Arabidopsis thaliana: one gene and its partners. The protein of the gene in region 1 interacts with the protein of each later gene in a pairwise test. Each region holds a gene or a part of one and is shown on either strand. Other genes may lie near its edges. The genes, in order: PTR2, AT3G21690, GCR1 and AT5G17850.

Region 1 (4,756 bases):
ATAAACAAAATGATCGTTTGAAGAATTAGAGCATATTTGTCATTTGTTATTTTGACTAATCCATCTCCATTCAAATTGTCCAATTATGTTTAGTCAAATGAGTTTGAAAATTTTGCCTAATTTAATCATCCAAATGAGCAAAAGAATAAAGCCACACATTACTTACTAATAATATTAAAGCCCACATTAAAATAATTTCTCACGTAAAAAACAAATACTTACACAAACCTATATAATCTAGACTCTACTTCACTTGTTTGCCCTAAACCATCTATCATCTCTCTTTCAATTCATCTACACCTTATTTTTATATTTCTCAAATACTTTTCGAGAAAATTATATACCCTTTTTAATATACGACGAATGAAATCGCAGGAAGATAATCTTCTACTTGTTCTTCTACTCGAGGGGATAAAAAATTACGGACTTAAGAGATGGGATAAGATACTAGCATCACTTCTTCTATCCCAGCGAAGTATCGCTAAATGTAAAAAAAAATTCTAATCTTTCGTTAAACGAAAGGTAAATTATTTTCTCGAAAAAATTTGTGTATAGAATTAAAGGTTTTCTTTAGTCAATAGCTAATCAATCTTATCATTTATTTTCTACTAGTTTCTTATTTGCACAATACATTTGAGAAAATTATGTTATGTTTTCAAGAGTTTTGGGTTTTTGTAGAGTATTAGATAAAATCAATATTTTCTCTCTTGAGACTAGTTTCTTCTTTGCACCATACATTTGTGTTCTTTTTCATTTTCTCAAAGCTGTTTGTTTTACCGAATTTTCTCTTGGGTTGTGGAGAATATTTTTTTTTTTTAGTTTTTATAACACCTTATCTTATATAAAAACAAAAGAGTTTGTTTTTACAAGGGATGATGGATGATGAATCTATAGATGGTCGTAGTACCACACTCTCTATGGACTCAAGTTGTGGAGAATCTTTTTTTTTTTAGTTTTTATAACACCTTATTTGATATAGAAACAAATGATTTTGTTCTTACAAGAGATGATGGATGATGAATCTATAGATGGTCGTACCACATTCTCTATGCACCCTATGAATCAAGTTGTGGAATCAATCAAAGTTGGCCACATATAGTTATGAAATGATTTTGTGATAAAAACACAAATTAATTTCTATGTGAATCACAAAGAAAATATATATATATATATATAATTCCCATTTGAAGTTTAAGCACAGACCTTAGAAAAATATGTAAACAAAGCCGATGTCTATAGTCCAATAAAAACAAATTTCGCCGGGAAAAGGAATATAAAAAATTTGTCACATTTACCAAAAAATAATAGGAGAGTTTATATAGTTTCAACGTACAATTAATGATCTAGGTTATCGAGTTTTAATTTCCATTTCTCCTAATTTTGCTGACTTGAGCTACATATTATTGAGCATTCTTGTTCTTTCAGGGTTTATAGAGAGATTGGCTGATAATTACTGTTTGTTATCTGAGTCCCCAAACGATTTACTGATATCAACAACGTATTGATGATGTATTGTTTTAGAAACACATATATGTAAAAAAAAAATTCTTGATTAGAGTGATATCAACAACTTGAGACATGGACAGGTAACAGGTTGATCCACAATTCTATCTTTACGTCATAATAATAACAAAAAATTCGTAAAAAGATGAGTTTTGTTAATTACTTCTCTTATTATAATCAAAGTTTTGATTTTTATTTTCCAATAAGTCGCCGGGAAAAGTAAAATAAAAAGCCGTCACGTCTCCGATAAATAATAGAGTATCGTTAGATAGGTAGCTTCAACGTAAGGAATCTAAATTGGTTCAGCTCAAAAAACGAAAACGATGGGTTCCATCGAAGAAGAAGCAAGACCTCTCATCGAAGAAGGTTTAATTTTACAGGTTTGTTCAATTTCAATTAATCACTTAGGTTAGCGAATTTTGATTTTACTCAATTCCAAAATCTTGACTTTAGATTGATCTTATGCATTTTCTTTCTGGGTTTATTGAGATCTTTTCTGGGCAATCACTGTTTTATCTAATTGATGATTCCAATGTTTGAATTTTGCAAGTAGATATAGATCAAAGTTTCGAGCTTTGATACAGTTATAGTTTAGTTAGCTAATCAAAAATGTTTTGTGAATTTGTTTTAAGTAGGAAGTGAAATTGTATGCTGAAGATGGTTCAGTGGACTTTAATGGAAACCCACCATTGAAGGAGAAAACAGGAAACTGGAAAGCTTGTCCTTTTATTCTTGGTAATGAATGTTGTGAGAGGCTAGCTTACTATGGTATTGCTGGGAATTTAATCACTTACCTCACCACTAAGCTTCACCAAGGAAATGTTTCTGCTGCTACAAACGTTACCACATGGCAAGGGACTTGTTATCTCACTCCTCTCATTGGAGCTGTTCTGGCTGATGCTTACTGGGGACGTTACTGGACCATCGCTTGTTTCTCCGGGATTTATTTCATCGTAAGCATTGCTTCTCTGTGTAATGTTTGGTTTGGTTTGTTTGCTCCTGATTACTGATAGGTTTTTGTATTTGTTTAGGGGATGTCTGCGTTAACTCTTTCAGCTTCAGTTCCGGCATTGAAGCCAGCGGAATGTATTGGTGACTTTTGTCCATCTGCAACGCCAGCTCAGTATGCGATGTTCTTTGGTGGGCTTTACCTGATCGCTCTTGGAACTGGAGGTATCAAACCGTGTGTCTCATCCTTCGGTGCCGATCAGTTTGATGACACGGACTCTCGGGAACGAGTTAGAAAAGCTTCGTTCTTTAACTGGTTTTACTTCTCCATCAATATTGGAGCACTTGTGTCATCTAGTCTTCTAGTTTGGATTCAAGAGAATCGCGGGTGGGGTTTAGGGTTTGGGATACCAACAGTGTTCATGGGACTAGCCATTGCAAGTTTCTTCTTTGGCACACCTCTTTATAGGTTTCAGAAACCTGGAGGAAGCCCTATAACTCGGATTTCCCAAGTCGTGGTTGCTTCGTTCCGGAAATCGTCTGTCAAAGTCCCTGAAGACGCCACACTTCTGTATGAAACTCAAGACAAGAACTCTGCTATTGCTGGAAGTAGAAAAATCGAGCATACCGATGATTGCCAGTAAATATCCGCTTCATTGCTTTCCAGTAATGTATAGCTTTACTTGGTTTAACAAGTTATTCTGGTATGATGCAGGTATCTTGACAAAGCCGCTGTTATCTCAGAAGAAGAATCGAAATCCGGAGATTATTCCAACTCGTGGAGACTATGCACGGTTACGCAAGTCGAAGAACTCAAGATTCTGATCCGAATGTTCCCAATCTGGGCTTCTGGTATCATTTTCTCAGCTGTATACGCACAAATGTCCACAATGTTTGTTCAACAAGGCCGAGCCATGAACTGCAAAATTGGATCATTCCAGCTTCCTCCTGCAGCACTCGGGACATTCGACACAGCAAGCGTCATCATCTGGGTGCCGCTCTACGACCGGTTCATCGTTCCCTTAGCAAGAAAGTTCACAGGAGTAGACAAAGGATTCACTGAGATACAAAGAATGGGAATTGGTCTGTTTGTCTCTGTTCTCTGTATGGCAGCTGCAGCTATCGTCGAAATCATCCGTCTCCATATGGCCAACGATCTTGGATTAGTCGAGTCAGGAGCCCCAGTTCCCATATCCGTCTTGTGGCAGATTCCACAGTACTTCATTCTCGGTGCAGCCGAAGTATTCTACTTCATCGGTCAGCTCGAGTTCTTCTACGACCAATCTCCAGATGCAATGAGAAGCTTGTGCAGTGCCTTGGCTCTTTTGACCAATGCACTTGGTAACTACTTGAGCTCGTTGATCCTCACGCTCGTGACTTATTTTACAACAAGAAATGGGCAAGAAGGTTGGATTTCGGATAATCTCAATTCAGGTCATCTCGATTACTTCTTCTGGCTCTTGGCTGGTCTTAGCCTTGTGAACATGGCGGTTTACTTCTTCTCTGCTGCTAGGTATAAGCAAAAGAAAGCTTCGTCGTAGTAATGCTGTTATCTATCTACTTTCATTACATACAAAAGTTTGTTTCTTTCAACTGTAACTGTCTCTGTATCAATAACAACATTGCTGTGTACTTTTCCTTTCAATTTCAAAAGTTTAAGTCGCATTTGCAATATTATAAACAATTCAGGGTTCGAATACTAAATTGAGAGAAATTGTCCATAGGCTTAGTAAATCAAATGGGCTTTTGGCCCATATCAAACGGGCACAAATATGACCCGGAGAAGAAGAATGTTCCGGGTCAATAAAATCGAAGAAGAAGAAGAGAGTATCGTTGTGAGGTTTGGGGATCGCGAAAATGGAGGTTCCAGGTTCATCGAAGAAGATGATCGCAACGCAAGAAGAGATGTCTGCAGCTAAAATAGCACTTGGATCTAGAGATATGTGCGCTCATCTCTTGATTCCGCTCAACAAATGTCGTCAGGCTGAGTTTTACCTTCCATGGAAATGTGAAGACGAGCGTCACGTTTATGAGAAGTGTGAATACGAGCTTGTTATGGAGAGAATGCTTGCGATGAAGAAGATCCGTGAAGAAGAAGCTTTGGCTAAACAGAATAAACTACAAGGAAACGCTGCTGTTCCTCTTATCCCTAAAACTGCTAATGCTTAGGATTCGATTCCTTCTCCAATTTGCCGATTCCAGATTCCGGTTAGTCTATAGTTTTTCGATTTCTTGTGTTTTGGTTGATTTGATTGAATTGGTTTGTTTCTTCTGCTACATGATCAGATCTTCGTGTTCTTCAAAT
Region 2 (6,125 bases), on another chromosome or scaffold:
ATGGCTTTTTAAACTTTATAAACTCGTTCTAATTTGTCTTTTCCGTTTAAGGCTTTTTCGTACGTTTTGCAAATAGCTAAACTTTTGAAAGGAAAAAGTAACCTCGCGTTTTTCTCATTTATATTGCACAGAATATAGATACAAGTTGCAGCTATTACTGATAAAACGTAGCTACTTTTTTGGTTGGGTTTATTTGAGCCAAATAACTTCATTAAAAGCTGTAGTACCAAGTTTGGGTCTATCATTTACACTGCTATTGTCTTTGCTATATGACTCGAATCTGATACATTCGATTTCTAAAGATTATATCTAATTTTTAAGCGAATTAAACTTTTGCAAGCTTGGTTTTGATCTCTACTATTCTATTGACTAGAGAAGATGTCATAGTTGGGTGTAGAATAAGGTATTGAACTGACTTGCTTTTATTGATTCATTAACTATGGTATTTATACACAATGATCTCTATCAAGAGATAAACATAAATCCCTAAAATATAGGTTAGAAACTCTATCATCAAAGATATTGTACTAATCCTAATCGGATTACACATATCTCCAATAGAGTTGATATCTATTAACGGCAAAAGGAGCTAAGCTGCCATGATGACCCATGAAGTATATGCCTGCATGCTAATACGCAGAAAAACATTGAATGTGAAAGTGGCAATTATTCGAACACTCAAATTTTTTTATCTTCCTAAAATCGTGCTCGTGAAGATTTTTCAAAACAACCGATATAACCATTGGTGTTTAGTTGTTTACCTTTCTTTTTATTGCATACGATAGCCCATTCTTAGGAATTAAACCATGGGGGCAACTGGCAAGCATTTATAATCATTGATGTTACTTTAATTTTCATTTAATATGAATATTAAACGTAGTAGCTATATCATTGGGTTGGAATTAATGACTGAGAAAGAATGAATGAAAGAGAGAAACGTGTACTCGCAGTAGACCATATAACCATTGGTGAACAATTTTATTTGGAATCGTATCCATAAATATCATTTTTATACTAGTACGCTTGCTTTTACGACTACTATACCTTGTGTGGGCGGACCAACAATTTAAGAAGGGGGTGTGGGTGTAACTGGCCCGGTAAACCATAATTTTGTTTTGGCCATGTACAAAATGAGTTTTTGGCATACGGTGTTTTGTTGTATTTGAAGATCCCACTCAATATCATTTTTTTTTCCCCAATTTGATTAATCATTTGCTTTCTTGAAAGATTATTTTCCTTATAAGGATAAGAATAAACAGTTTCCTTTTTCATGGAACAAATTTTTCATGTTTCAAAGATATTTTCATTTTGTCTGAAGTATCAAAACAGTTTTACATTATTATTTGTCTTTTTCTGTTCAAAAAATTTAAGCAAATTAGTATATAATAAATAAACAGATTTGTGTATAGTATTGAAACCTATATCCATGAGCAAATGTGTGGTATATAAATTAGATAACAATTCTTTTTTGACATCATATAAATTAAATAACATTGAATTTGAAATTAATCACATTTTTAAAATGTGATTGTACGTTATTTATTCTTTAAAATTATGAATACTAATTAACCAATATATGTCATCGAAATAACTCAAAATATTGTAAAGAAAACTATTTGCATTTTACATATAGATATCTTGTAAAGTTAATTACGATATCCATAGAAATGTTATACAATCTTTGACTAAAAACGAAAGAAAGAATTCTAATAATTAATAACCTTTGGTGTTTTTAATGAGAGACGTGGACTCTCTCGGTAGAAATAATACAATGATTAACATACAAATTTGTAACTATCATTAGCCGTCACTCGCCACCCTCGATAGGACCTATATACACTTATACACAACACTAGCCACACACATCCTCAAGCGATAACACCACAAACAAAACAACAAACCAAAAAAAAAAAAAAGAGAGAGAGAGAGAGCAAATCTCCATCATCATCATGGACTCGTCTCCAAACGACGGCGTACACCAACCGCTTCTCCATCCTCAACCATCTCCATCTCCGCCGGAGTCAACCAACGGCGAGCTAGAAACTGTCCTCTCCGACGTAGAAACTCCTCTGTTTCTCCGCCTACGTAAAGCCACCATAATCGAATCAAAGCTTCTCTTTAACCTCGCTGCACCAGCCGTCATCGTCTACATGATTAACTACCTCATGTCCATGTCTACTCAAATCTTCTCCGGCCATCTCGGTAACCTCGAACTCGCCGCCGCTTCTCTTGGTAACACCGGTATTCAAGTCTTCGCTTACGGTCTCATGGTAACAACCAAAAACTCCTCTTCTTGTATATATTTTTTGTATGAATGTTACGTTTTATATCATTTTCGTCTATATGCTATGTTTTTTTTCACATCTTTAAAATTCGAGTTTTTTTCGATGATAGCTAGGCATGGGGAGTGCAGTGGAGACGTTATGTGGTCAAGCGTACGGTGGTAGAAAATACGAGATGCTTGGAGTTTATCTCCAAAGATCAACCGTATTACTAACACTCACCGGCCTCCTCCTTACTTTAATCTACGTTTTCTCCGAACCAATCCTTCTCTTCCTCGGTGAATCTCCCGCAATCGCTTCGGCCGCATCGCTCTTCGTCTACGGTCTTATCCCTCAAATCTTTGCCTACGCAGCGAACTTTCCAATACAAAAATTTCTCCAATCACAAAGCATAGTAGCTCCAAGTGCTTATATCTCAACGGCTACGCTCTTTGTTCACCTTCTTTTAAGTTGGCTCGCGGTTTACAAGCTTGGTATGGGACTTCTTGGTGCGTCGCTTGTGCTTAGCTTGTCGTGGTGGATTATAGTCGTGGCTCAGTTTGTTTATATTGTGACGAGTGAGAGGTGTCGTGAGACGTGGAGAGGTTTTAGTGTTCAAGCTTTCTCGGGTTTGTGGAGTTTCTTTAAACTCTCCGCCGCTTCTGCCGTGATGCTTTGCCTTGAGACTTGGTATTTTCAGATTCTCGTTCTTCTTGCCGGACTTCTCGAGAATCCTGAACTTGCTCTTGATTCACTCTCTATTTGGTAAGTCCTATTTTTAGTCAAACTCAATTTAATTATTTCCTTTAAAATTTATTTTTACTAGTTAATTTCGTTTACTAAATTAATTTCACCTATTGACCATAAAAAATAATAATTTAAGTTTATCTATTCTAGTGTTTTTGCCTCTTTGGTTTCCATTTTACCTATTCTAGTCTAATTTGTCTTCCACATGATATTTTATTTATGTTTTATCATAGGTAGTAGTTATTGGTTTCTACAAGAAAACACTTTTTTATATATCCTGAAACTCCACGTGAATATGTATGATTATAGACTTTTCCATGAATTTTTCTAGTAATGATTCGACAAAACTTTTAGTATTATTATTATTCGATATGAAAAGCATAGAACAAAACTTTTTGTAGGGAGTACAAAGCAAAGTTTGGTTGTAGATACTAGATATGAAAGTTAAGTTAATGGCGAACAAATTTGACACTTCTTCCGCTACAGACAATCTATGGTCACATCACATTTCTTCTTTTCAGTCTTCTCGTTTTGGTTTTCTTTGGAATTTGTTTTTGTCTTCTTCTTAAGCAGTAGAATTTAACTTTAACAATTTCTGTATGACCATATGAAACTATCTCATATGGAATCGAATAAAACATTATTTCTTCGTCCAATCTGCATCTACTTCTTTATTTTGTCGAAGATATTATACAATATTCTTCTAGTACTAATTAGTTTAAGATTTATCTGAGTCGTAAGTACTAGATTTTTTAGGTTTTCCAAAAGTTCTCTTTCCTCTGTTACCAAACAGAAGCAGCCACCAAATTTAGGTAGTTGCCCCAAATCAGTATGGAATTCCCATCTTTATAATATGATATCTTTGATTTTCATGTCAAGTCAAAAGTTACAATTTTAAAATGTTGTAAAAACATTACAAGCAACAATGGTTTCATACTAGCTTTTGATAGTGTACGATATTAAATTATTTGTTTTTGTGTTACAGCATGACGATTTCAGGGTGGGTGTTCATGATATCTGTTGGATTCAATGCAGCGATAAGGTCTGTTTTGTCCCAACTCACCACTTGCATGATCGTTTTCACTAAATTTAAATCATATAAAATAGAAAACGTCTCTATCCAATTTACCTACCCCCATAAAAATATGTGGATTCTTACATTTTACACACTTAAATAATGCTAAATCATACTGAACCATAAGCTCTTTTTCTCCTATTAAATCTGATGAAGTGTGACAAAAATTGTGTTATGATGTTGATACAGTGTAAGAGTGAGCAATGAACTTGGAGCTGGGAACCCTAAATCAGCAGCTTTTTCTGTGATCATCGTTAACATTTATTCGTTAATCACTTGTGTGATCCTAGCCATTGTTATTTTAGCGTGCCGCGATGTTTTAAGCTATGCTTTCACTGAGGGTAAAGAAGTCTCGGACGCTGTTTCTGATCTCTGTCCGCTTCTTGCCGTAACACTTGTCCTTAACGGAATCCAACCTGTCCTCTCTGGTAAACCCTTCTGATCGATACACCGCAATTTCGCAAACCGAATAAGCGAAGATTTTTTTTTTTTTTTTGAACAATTGGGAAAATTTTATTATAGGTGTGGCGGTTGGATGCGGTTGGCAAACGTTTGTGGCGAAGGTTAACGTTGGATGTTACTACATTATTGGAATTCCTCTTGGGGCTCTCTTTGGGTTTTACTTTAACTTCGGTGCCAAGGCAAGATAGTTTTCTTAACTTTCATTTTAATTAGTTACCATTATTCTTGTATTGAATATTAGAATAACAAATTTAAGGCTAATGATGCTATAGGGTATATGGACGGGGATGATCGGTGGTACGGTTATACAAACGTTTATTTTGGCGTGGGTCACGTTTAGAACAGATTGGACAAAAGAAGTAAGTTTGCTAAACTTTAAGCTGCCCTGTAGGCGCTAAGTGTTTACGTAAATATTTTCATTGATTTGATAGTTATTTTAATTTGTTTCAGGTGGAAGAAGCTTCCAAAAGGTTGGACAAATGGAGCAACAAGAAACAAGAAGTTGTTCCTGAATGATGCAGGTTGATGAAAGTTTGGTATCCAAGGAACCGATTAGATTCATCGGTAAACCGATGCAAATGCTCAAAGTAACATGTGAGCTGGTAAAAAAGGATATGGATCAACCTTTTAAACTTCTACAACTCAATTTTAAGTTTTTTGTGTTCTTGTTTAAAATGTTAGAGGTAGGTTATGTATTTTTGTATGCCAAGATTATAATAGTTACTGCGTTATTTTTTATTGATTTATATATATATGCATGTCTTTGATTGGATAGATCTTAGTTATTTTTGTTACTGAGTTTTTCTTTAGTTTAATGATATTTTGTTAGACTGGAATGCAATTAAAGTTTCTCTCTTTCAGTATGATGCATTTTTGTTGTTGTTGAGAATGTGAAGGAAAATAAGAACTGGACTTCCAACAAAATGGGCAGGGTGATCTATGGGCCTAATATATGGGCCTAAGTAAACTGAAATTACTATACATAAAACAAAGTTTTCACATCATAAAATCAGTCCAGCTCATTTGCGTTGAGGACTTGAGGCACAGAGAAAATTTGGAGTTTTTTTTTGTCAAAGGAGAAATTTTGGAGTTGATGATTCGATATCTGACATAGTTATAAATGTGTATTATCTTGCTCTAACTTTGCTTTAGTTAGTGGCAAAATTTTGATGTAAACAAAAGTAAAATAATCGCCTACTTAACGCATCTATGACATTTTAATATAAGCACTATTTTCATTCGTGTTTAATAAAAAATAACGAAAACGATTGTAAGAACTTCTAAATATTCTTATAAACTACTAGACGAGATGTTATATTTGTTCCATAAAGTTAGAGAAAGGAGCGATTAAATTTCCGTTACACTTGATGTAAACACGTTTTTTCGAATAAATTTTACATTTTATTCAAAAAAAAGAAAAAAAAAAAAGTAAAGAAGAAAAATTCTTGATACTTTTTCTTTTCATTATTCTCATTATAAACCATACAACGAAAAAGGATATAAATAGTAAATACTTGGCCAAGCCAATAATGGCCGTCACGTTGTATCTGTGCCATTTTCTGTCTACACATTTAAGTCTT
Region 3 (4,581 bases), on another chromosome or scaffold:
TTTCAATGTATGAAGATAATTCGTAATTGCTGTACTAATTAAATTTATGTAATTTTGTGTGGATTGACAAAATTCGTCTGTTTGGTTTTTGTACGTTTGTTGCCATTTAGTAGATGATATGTCATTGGGTAAATTAGCACACGAAAATCATTTAATATATATAATAAACAGTCATTATAACATGTATACGTAAATTATATTACGAATTGTGATAAGTCTAGCCACGGGGTTTACGACCAAAAGCAATACATAAATAATAATCAGGGAGATCCATGAACTTATATATACAAAGAGTGAGGACACGAGAAGCAATATGTGTCAATGTGTGGAAGAATGTCTCCATCATTAACCTAATTATATTATATTTTTATGTTTTATAATTTTTATGGTCTTCTCCGCTTGGTAGTTTTAGCCTTACAGCCATTAACTATCGTAAATTAGGGTACTAATACTTGTTATTTTTTTTGGTAAAAGGTGAAATTTTATACTATTTTTAGTTTGTGATAGAATTACAGAGAAAACTAGAAACAGATTAAAGCAATCTACGTAAATATAAAAACAACATTACAACTCAAGATGCAAAGGATCACTACTAAGTGGTCAAAGCCAAATTGCAAAAAGAAACACCGATTCCGAACCCGCGAAGCTCAGAAAATTGTGTGGTTGCCACAAAACCGAAGAACTGGAATCATCATCTTAATTGCCACGAGCAAAACTATCCAAGATCCGTCCACAAAACTTCAAGATAGAAGTCTACAACTTCTCTGAGAACTAACGCAAAAACGTAAAAGCAATCGTGGACTTCTATACTAACTCAACAAGATAGCAATGCCACTTAGACTTATTCGCCGCCTCTATTCAACATTCTGACAACCTAGCCAATGCTCGTTATTTGCTTATTATTAGTTCTTACGTACGTGTTTTATATTCGTTTTGAAAAACAAATAATTGTCGTTAATAATCAGCTAATAAATAGTATAAATTTATGACTTGCAAGTACAAGCTTGTTATATATATTACTTGCTTATATATAACTTATTTTTATTTGAATGTTTTGTGCTTAGGATGCTTGAAACTTTGAATGTTTTGTAATTTCTATTGTATATGAGATTTTTTTTCGATTCAAGTTGCAATTATTTTACAAGTAACAAGCAATATCAAATTATTTAGCAAGTAATAAGCCAAATCAAGTTATTTAGCAAATAATCATATTTTATATGTTATAACAAGTCCAAAATTCATTTACTTGAAAGGGGCAAAACGGGTCAGAAGGCCATGCCTAGGTATTTTTGTGCTCGGTGATTGATAGTATAGTCGTGTAGATAATTTATTTAAAAACAATAGTATACATAATTTGTTATAATATTATATATATATATATATATATATATATTTATTTTTATATAGAGTATACTATAAATAAGATTAATTATAAAATTAAATAGTATAATATTTACATGTGCATAACATAAGTTATTACCTAGTATAATTTAAATATTCATACATGTATAAAATTAAAATTTTCCAAAAATATGTGATAACTTGACATGTAAATAACATCATATAAATGTTTTTAATAATTAATATAGCATATATGAATTAATGCTTAACAAAATCATTGGGCTGGGCCTAAAGAAGTGCACTACGAGGAGTCCGGTTCAAAAGACACGACTTGACCCGACCGATCCGACCCGGGTAAGAGGTTAGCCCACCACGCAACGTCCGTCGGGGAAGATACCACGCGACGGAAACGACGAACACGAACAGCGGAAATCGTCAATTCAATCTCTCAGATCAGTTTTGGAATCACATATAACAATGTCGGCGGTTCTCACAGCCGGCGGAGGCTTAACTGCCGGGGATCGCAGCATTATTACGGCGATTAACACCGGCGCTTCGAGTCTCTCATTCGTCGGCTCAGCCTTCATCGTTCTCTGCTACTGCCTCTTCAAAGAACTTCGAAAATTCTCTTTCAAGCTCGTCTTCTACCTTGCTCTCTCTGTAAGTTTCCCGTTGTTGCCTTTCGCTGATTGTGCTAGATCTAGGATTATGTACTGTTTTGCTTCCTTCTTCTTCGATTATTCTCACTGTGAATTGTTACATCGCTAAGACGTTAAGTTCCATTGCGTTCTGAGATGAGTAGTGAGGGTTCGAGCTCTATTGCTGACTAATGGCAATGTTTTTAATTGTTGCAGGATATGCTTTGCAGTTTCTTCCTAATCGTTGGGTATGTTTATCTACTACTATTGGTTCTGGTGAATCTTGTTGAGATTATTTTGATAAGATGATTGTTACATCTTGATCACTGTAGGGATCCTTCAAAGGGGTTCATTTGTTACGCACAAGGCTACACTACTCATTTCTTCTGCGTTGCTTCGTTCTTGTGGACAACTACAATTGCTTTCACTCTTCATCGTACTGTTGTCAAGCATAAAACTGATGTGGAGGATTTGGAAGCAATGTTTCATTTGTATGTATGGGGTATGTAAAATGATACTCGTGGGTTTCGGTTCTCAATTGTTACTATATCCACCTAGGGTTAAGGATTAGAATGTGTTAGTATCTTCTTTGGTGATTTAGTAAGACTCTGATTTTAGTTACTTTTCTCAGGGACTTCCTTGGTTGTGACTGTCATACGTTCTTTTGGTAACAACCACTCACATTTGGGGCCATGGTGCTGGACGCAAACTGGTCTTAAGGGAAAGGCAAGTGAGAATGCTTAGTTGAGCATAAAGATTTCAATGCCTATCAAAAGGCATTTGAACTTTTTTGTTGCAACGCTGGGCCAGATGAATGTAGACTAGTATTTTATTCTTCGTTACTGGAACTCATATCACCTCTTGAATTTTGCAGGCTGTTCATTTTTTAACTTTCTACGCTCCTCTTTGGGGAGCCATTCTTTACAATGGGTTTACTTACTTCCAAGTGATACGGATGCTAAGAAATGCTAGACGTGTATGTAACTCTCTCATCTCTAATAACATTGTCTTCTGAAAGTAGTTCACAAACGTTACTGATACACTTGGCTGTGTGCTGAAATGGCAATGTTAATTTCAGATGGCAGTTGGAATGTCAGACCGAGTCGATCAATTTGATAATAGAGCAGAGTTAAAGGTCTGTCTTTATTGCCAATACTAGTTCTGTATCATGTGGCTGGATTTCATCATTAAAACCTCACTGCTTGTTTCCTGAAACCACAGGTGTTGAACAGATGGGGATACTATCCACTCATTCTAATAGGATCATGGGCATTCGGCACTATTAACCGTATCCATGATTTCATCGAGCCAGGGCATAAGATCTTCTGGCTCTCAGTTCTTGACGTTGGGACAGCTGCACTAATGGTAGCAAACCTATCAAATAAATAAGTTATAAAATTCGCCATAGATCATCTTTGCTCTTCCCGAGTCGATGTTCTGAATGTTGTATTTTCAGGGCTTGTTCAATTCAATAGCCTATGGTTTCAACAGCTCAGTGCGTCGAGCAATCCATGAGAGACTGGAGCTGTAAGTCACCACCGATCTCTTTGGTTTGCTATATTATTCCCAATAATCAATGAAGCTTGATTTTTATGAAACCCTTGGTCTGCTAGATTCTTGCCAGAACGGCTATATCGATGGCTTCCAAGCAATTTCAGACCAAAAAACCATCTGATTCTACATCAGCAACAACAACAGCGAAGCGAAATGGTATCACTCAAGACCGAGGACCAGCAATGACACTAACTTTCAACTAATACATTGGACCGATAACAAGAAGGCGGCGATGATAATAGCGTTTGGATGGAGAGATTGGTAAGTTTCCTCTATGATTGTTTTGTCTTTAATTTCCGTTTACATGGATCAGTAAGTGTGTTTTGTTTTGTGTTTCTCTCTTAGATATGGTGAAGGGGGGTGCACAACAGGTTGTCAATGTATATGAAACATTCTTTGGGAACACGAACTTAACAATTTATTTATTTTTGTATGAACTTTTTTATTGTGAGGTCTTCTGATCTTGATTTGAAATTAACGAACTTGGAGTTCTTGGACGACAATGTTGAAGAGTTTTGTTACGTAAGTCATATGAAAATACTATCACTTAAACCGGCGCCGTTTCTAAAGAGGAATTACAAAATTCGTATCAATCTTCAAAACCCTAGAGATCACCGCGATTTCTTTCTCCCCAAGACTGAACGACTCTGTCTTCAAACTCGGGTGGGGATTGAGATGGGTTTGTCTTTTCGTCTAACAGTGATCCAACAGTGGAGAAAGAAGAAAAGAAGACGAAGCCAAGCACTACTGGAGATTCCAACGGATGTGGTGACAGAGATTCTTACGAGATTCCCTGTTAAAACCCTAATGGATTCAAGTGCGTCTCAAAGCTCTGGTCATCTATCATACGCTCTCCATAGTCCATACTTTACCAGTCGTTTCATTAAGGTCCCATCTCAACGAATTTACATTTGTGTATCACATTTCGAGGACTACCGTCCCTCTAAAATCCTATCATTAGCTCCATCCGCTACTAGTCCATCTTCCTCCTTTGTTGTTGACCATCCGAGATAGGGGAGGCAAGATCTTACAAAAACTTAGTGGCTTC
Region 4 (4,700 bases), on another chromosome or scaffold:
TCCTATTTCCAAGGAAACAATTTGCAGACAAGAAAAATGTGCCAAATTATTATGCACACGAGTCATGATGAGATTAGGAATAAAAAACACATCTTATCTTGAGTTCATTGCAAATTGGCAAAAAGAGACAAGCGTTGTCGCTTCAAACAACTCCCACAACACTGGGAACTAAATACACAATTGAAAATAAACAAATATATTGGCAGAAGAAAATACAATTAACGTAGAGATTTTTGAAAACAAAAAAAATATTATCTTAGATAATTTATCTAATATGAGATGGTTTTTTTTTACATTATCCTTATACTGCATGGAGTATAATATGTATGTGTTTACTTGAATGTATGAGCAGAGATTGTTGACTAGTCGAGAATCTGACACCTATCAAAAAACCAGCTACTCAATTTGAACTCCATTACTCTAAAAATTATTCTAAGCTATGCATGTTGTGCGATATCATTGAAACTAGTAATCTTCAGATCAATATTGGTGGTTTCGAACCTTATTTTAAACGACTTTTTGATTTTTCTTGTTTCAACTTGAATTAGAATGATTTCAAATCATACATTTACAATAGATTTGTATATTTCCTCCACGAAACCGAAATTGTATCATATTATGAAAAATCTACGTTACAATCTACATAAAGTTATACATATATATATATCTATACATTACAAAATCGATTCCTTTTACTTGAAGAAGATTATACAAACCCATGTTATGTAAAACGACTATGAGTTGAAATCAAAGTTAGTGAGCATCTCCAACGGTTTGCATAATTCTTAGAGACAATGAAGCCAAGTAAATAACCAAAAGCCCTATGCCCATCACACCACCAAGCCTCATACGGTTACTAAACAGAACCAAGAACGACCATACCAGTCCTGCGACCAGAAATCCAAGACTCTCCAACAAACGAGGATCTGTCTTAATCACAATGCTCAACGGATAAGCCTCCCATGCACATCCCACAAGCGATATCCCGAGAGCAAACAATGTATTGAAGATCGGACCGGCGTAACATCCCGATACAGCCACTTGAGCTCCTTCGTTCCCATCGTGTAGCGCCATTGTCAAGTTGGTTATTAGATCTCCAATTGAATTACCCCAAGCGAGGACCGTTAAGCCTAAGATCGAAGGGCTTACACCGAAAATGTATCCTAGTGAGGTCAAAAGCGCAACTAGCTCTTGTGCTGATATGTAACTCCATGTCATGCTCATTACAAACCCTCCTGCTAACCAAGGCAACAACCATTTCTTTGGTGGGGTTAATTTCTTCGTCGTGGCTCCTGCAATGAAACCAAGAGCTATACCGATCAAACACCCGATGAGATAAACAACCCCCGCCTCAAAACTCGTCGGTTTCCGCTTCCAGTTCCATAAAAACGACAACAGAACCGGGGCAAATGTGACCGAGGCAACAGCTAATGGTTTAGACCATTTGTCTTCACTCACTACAGGAATTGTTAATATCCTTGGCAAGTTGAGAGGCAGAGTGATAGCCCAAATGACCAATCTTTTCCAGTAATAATATCTCTGGTGATCATCATCATCATCAACAATCTGATGCTCTCCATTAACAACACCATCTTCAATTTCCTCAAGACCGTCTCTCTGCAAGATTGGTTCACTAAGACTACCACGCTTATGGATTGACTCAAGATCAGATTCAGCACCTTGATCTCCACCAAATCTCCAAGAGAGAACCACAAAGGCAACATAAACAGCATACAATGAACAAAACCCAAGAGCACCCCAGAAATTGATCTTTCCATAGACCAAAATCAAAGCCAAAGAACCAATAGCAGCACAGAAGAAGCAAATGTCTCTTATAAACGCAGCTCTCTCAATCCTCACACGTCTCTTATGCAACGAAATGCTAATGATCCCAACAACAACACAGGTAACAAAACCAGAACCTCCCACAACAGTGTTGAGACCAACATCATAAGTACCTTTAGATTCTCCCATGAAAGAGACCAAACTTGCAAACAAATCAGGAGCACCATTACCAAGCGACAAAAGAGTAACACCAGCAACAGTTGGTGACAAATTAAGCAGCTTTGAGAGACTTTCAAGAGATGAACAAAAGTACTCAGAGGCCGTATGACCCAATAGATAGAACAAGAGAAGCAACCAGAGGAAGAGAAGAAACTGACCCAAAATTGGGAAACCTTCGAAATTACAGTAGAGAAAAGAGAGGTAATCGAAGAAACCTTGACTAGCACATGGATCAATCGATTTCAGGTAAGCACACTTTGATTTGTAGTCATGAAAGTGCTTCAGGGCACTACAATCATGCTCTGATTTAGGTCTTAGAGCACTTGAATCAACAGGATTCGTGAAGAAACCCAACAGAAGACAAGAGATAACGAGAAGGAATGTGACTGTCAAGTAACCAAAACGGTTTGAAGAAAATGAAAATCCCATCAATCAGCTAAGACCTGGAAACTCAACAAAAAACGAAAAGAAACAAATCAGAACAGAGCAAACGAAGAAACAGATAAAGTTTGGTTTTTTATCAGAGAGTCAAATTGAAAAAGAAGATATTTGGGTTTATTGTTGAGAATCTATAAATGGGTTTACTCCATAAGAACAGATCATGAAGAAAACAGATTAGATAAACACGAACTATACGCGGAAAGAGAAAGATAAAGCACTGACCTTTTTTAATATCTGGAAGATGAAAAAGCAAAAAAGGGATCGAATTTCGAAACGAAGCTTTTAAAGGAGACGAAGCGAAGAAAACACCCACAAACACACAAAACAAACACTTTAACAAGACCTGACGAAGACAAACGTCAGAGACAAAAAAAAACAGAGGATTGAGGAATACTATTTTTTTATATAAAGAATCTGAAAAAAGTTTGTCACTTTGTCATTGCCGTTTTGGGGTTAGGGTGATTTGGGTTTTGGAAATGGCTTATGTGTCGGCTTCACGATGAACTGTGCGTCATTTTCTCTTTCCATTACGTATGCGAAGAATAGGAAGACGAAGGAGGGAGGGTTAGCGAAAGGATACATAAATTTAGAAGCTTTTTCCACAAATTAAATATTACTATAAGGAGCTGACCCAGCAATATTTAGTATTTAGTGCTGATTCCTTAAGCCACTAACTATGGAAAAAATAATATAAATATTCCGGTTTGGTTCGTAATCAGTTACCGGTTTAAGGTTAACTTACATATAAGAAACTAATTTAAAGGATGTGGTCAGTACTGAATTGATGTTTGTTTATTCCAACAAGTAAAACTCTAATCTATAACAGTCATTTTAATCTAATTTTATTAGTTGTGAAATAGTTATTGGTAATTGAGTATAAACCACAACCACCGCCTTTATTCTGTTACTTCCAGTTTACACAAGGCAGAATAACTTGAAATGTAATTAAGAGAAAATTAATTCAATAATTTGGCTTTCTATTAGCTCAAAATTACTTCCTTTATATAAGCTGAAACATCTTAATTCGAACGTATTTTAAGAAATAAGTATACATGGATATTGAATTTCCAAATAGATTGAGACAGCCACGATCATAAAGAGAAAGTTCCCAAAAAGAAAAGACAGAAAGAAACAAGTAGAAGAAGCTAATATAAAAGGAAAGTATAGTGTGACAAGATAAAGTTAATAATGAGGAAACTAATAGTATACTCCACACAGTCACACAAAGATAATTGTATAATGAGGTCGACTGAATAAAGAAAAGAAAAAAAAGTGTGGTCGACTTTTACTACTAAAACGAGAAAGTCGGTCGAAGGATTAGGATTTAGGACACGATTTTTGTAAAAATATTTAGGGAATTTTTCAAATAAAATCGAACAAAATATAAAGATAAGAGGACTTATTACGAGTGTGAATTGCAAATATTAAAAAAGTACCGAGTCATTTAGAGCAACGCGGTCTTCAAACGCGTTTTGTTTTTCTTTACTTTTGTTTACATCTTTGCATTTATTTTGTGATGTTATTCATTGCTTGAGAGCTAAGTGAGTAGAAGCGATCCATTAACACAAGAATCAGCACGTACGTGTACGTCCCCTTCGACGGTGATATTTGTTTTTACCTTTTCTAGTTGATATAAAAATCTTCGTTTACTCATGGAGATCAGATACTATCTAACATCAAACCAACAAATCCTTTAATCTATATATTGTTAGCTATCATTTAAACTTATGCCTTAACATATAAAGTTGTAGACTAGTGTCTGATTGTTTTTTTAAAAACACTCTTTTTAATTGGAGCTGAAATATCTTAAAAGTGAACACTTTTAGCCGACGTCCACCTTTAGACAAGAGGCTGACTCCAAAAAGATGTCCCAAAAATAATTGATGATGGGCATTCATTATGATAAAGTTGGCCCATAATCTTTTTTATGGATCCATTTGTCCAATTCAAATTTATTGATTACTGTCACGTCCCATCCTTTTTGATGTTTATGGGCTCGGTTTAGATACCCGGATATCTTACCGGTATAGTCCGGTTATGGGACCTCAACGAAAACTGAGACATATGAACGGCGATCCCTCCAAAGTTATCACCTACCTTCTCCAATCTCTTTTCGATTTCGAATTTTCCATCTTTCGATTCTCAGTAGTTTCGTCTCAATTTCATAATTCCATTGTAGCCGATAATGAATTCCGCTTTAGATTTTGCTTTTCCGGCTACATTTCCGGTTAAATCGAGTTCTGTTGGCGGACATC

What was found.
Region 2: the proteins of PTR2 (region 1) and AT3G21690 interact in a protein complementation assay, tested with the Arabidopsis thaliana proteins (one large-scale study listed by BioGRID).
Region 3: the proteins of PTR2 (region 1) and GCR1 interact in a protein complementation assay, tested with the Arabidopsis thaliana proteins (one large-scale study listed by BioGRID).
Region 4: the proteins of PTR2 (region 1) and AT5G17850 interact in a protein complementation assay, tested with the Arabidopsis thaliana proteins (one large-scale study listed by BioGRID).

Annotation. Positions count from the first base shown.
Region 1 is NC_003071.7:485,716-490,471, forward strand, and holds PTR2 (peptide transporter 2), read left to right. Parts: upstream 1-1,682; 5' UTR 1,683-1,826; coding exon 1,827-1,883; intron 1,884-2,138; coding exon 2,139-2,456; intron 2,457-2,534; coding exon 2,535-3,091; intron 3,092-3,166; coding exon 3,167-3,992; 3' UTR 3,993-4,226; downstream 4,227-4,756. Other genes in the region: AT2G02050 (NADH-ubiquinone oxidoreductase B18 subunit), read left to right, coding at 4,309-4,620. UniProt on the Arabidopsis thaliana protein: Peptide transporter. Mediates the transport of di- and tripeptides. High affinity, low capacity transporter. Can also transport histidine.
Region 2 is NC_003074.8:7,636,801-7,642,925, forward strand, and holds AT3G21690 (MATE efflux family protein), read left to right. Parts: upstream 1-1,783; 5' UTR 1,784-1,949; coding exon 1,950-2,270; intron 2,271-2,394; coding exon 2,395-3,026; intron 3,027-3,993; coding exon 3,994-4,050; intron 4,051-4,272; coding exon 4,273-4,511; intron 4,512-4,605; coding exon 4,606-4,724; intron 4,725-4,817; coding exon 4,818-4,904; intron 4,905-4,995; coding exon 4,996-5,061; 3' UTR 5,062-5,589; downstream 5,590-6,125.
Region 3 is NC_003070.9:17,827,452-17,832,032, reverse strand, and holds GCR1 (G-protein-coupled receptor 1), read left to right. Parts: upstream 1-1,612; 5' UTR 1,613-1,818; coding exon 1,819-2,001; intron 2,002-2,195; coding exon 2,196-2,227; intron 2,228-2,311; coding exon 2,312-2,481; intron 2,482-2,610; coding exon 2,611-2,705; intron 2,706-2,853; coding exon 2,854-2,955; intron 2,956-3,057; coding exon 3,058-3,114; intron 3,115-3,200; coding exon 3,201-3,344; intron 3,345-3,435; coding exon 3,436-3,506; intron 3,507-3,592; coding exon 3,593-3,719; 3' UTR 3,720-3,794; exon of another isoform or gene 3,795-3,878; 3' UTR 3,879-4,080; downstream 4,081-4,581. UniProt on the Arabidopsis thaliana protein: Together with GPA1, may regulate the cell cycle via a signaling cascade that uses phosphatidylinositol-specific phospholipase C (PI-PLC) as an effector and inositol 1,4,5-trisphosphate(IP(3)) as a second messenger.
Region 4 is NC_003076.8:5,896,986-5,901,685, reverse strand, and holds AT5G17850 (Sodium/calcium exchanger family protein), read right to left. Parts: upstream 2,835-4,700; 5' UTR 2,668-2,834; intron 2,641-2,667; exon of another isoform or gene 2,448-2,640; 5' UTR 2,434-2,447; coding exon 754-2,433; 3' UTR 529-753; downstream 1-528. Other genes in the region: AT5G17847 (uncharacterized protein), read right to left, coding at 2,899-3,027; AT5G17840 (DnaJ/Hsp40 cysteine-rich domain superfamily protein), read left to right, coding at 4,631-4,700. UniProt on the Arabidopsis thaliana protein: Membrane-localized H(+)-dependent K(+) and Na(+) transporter.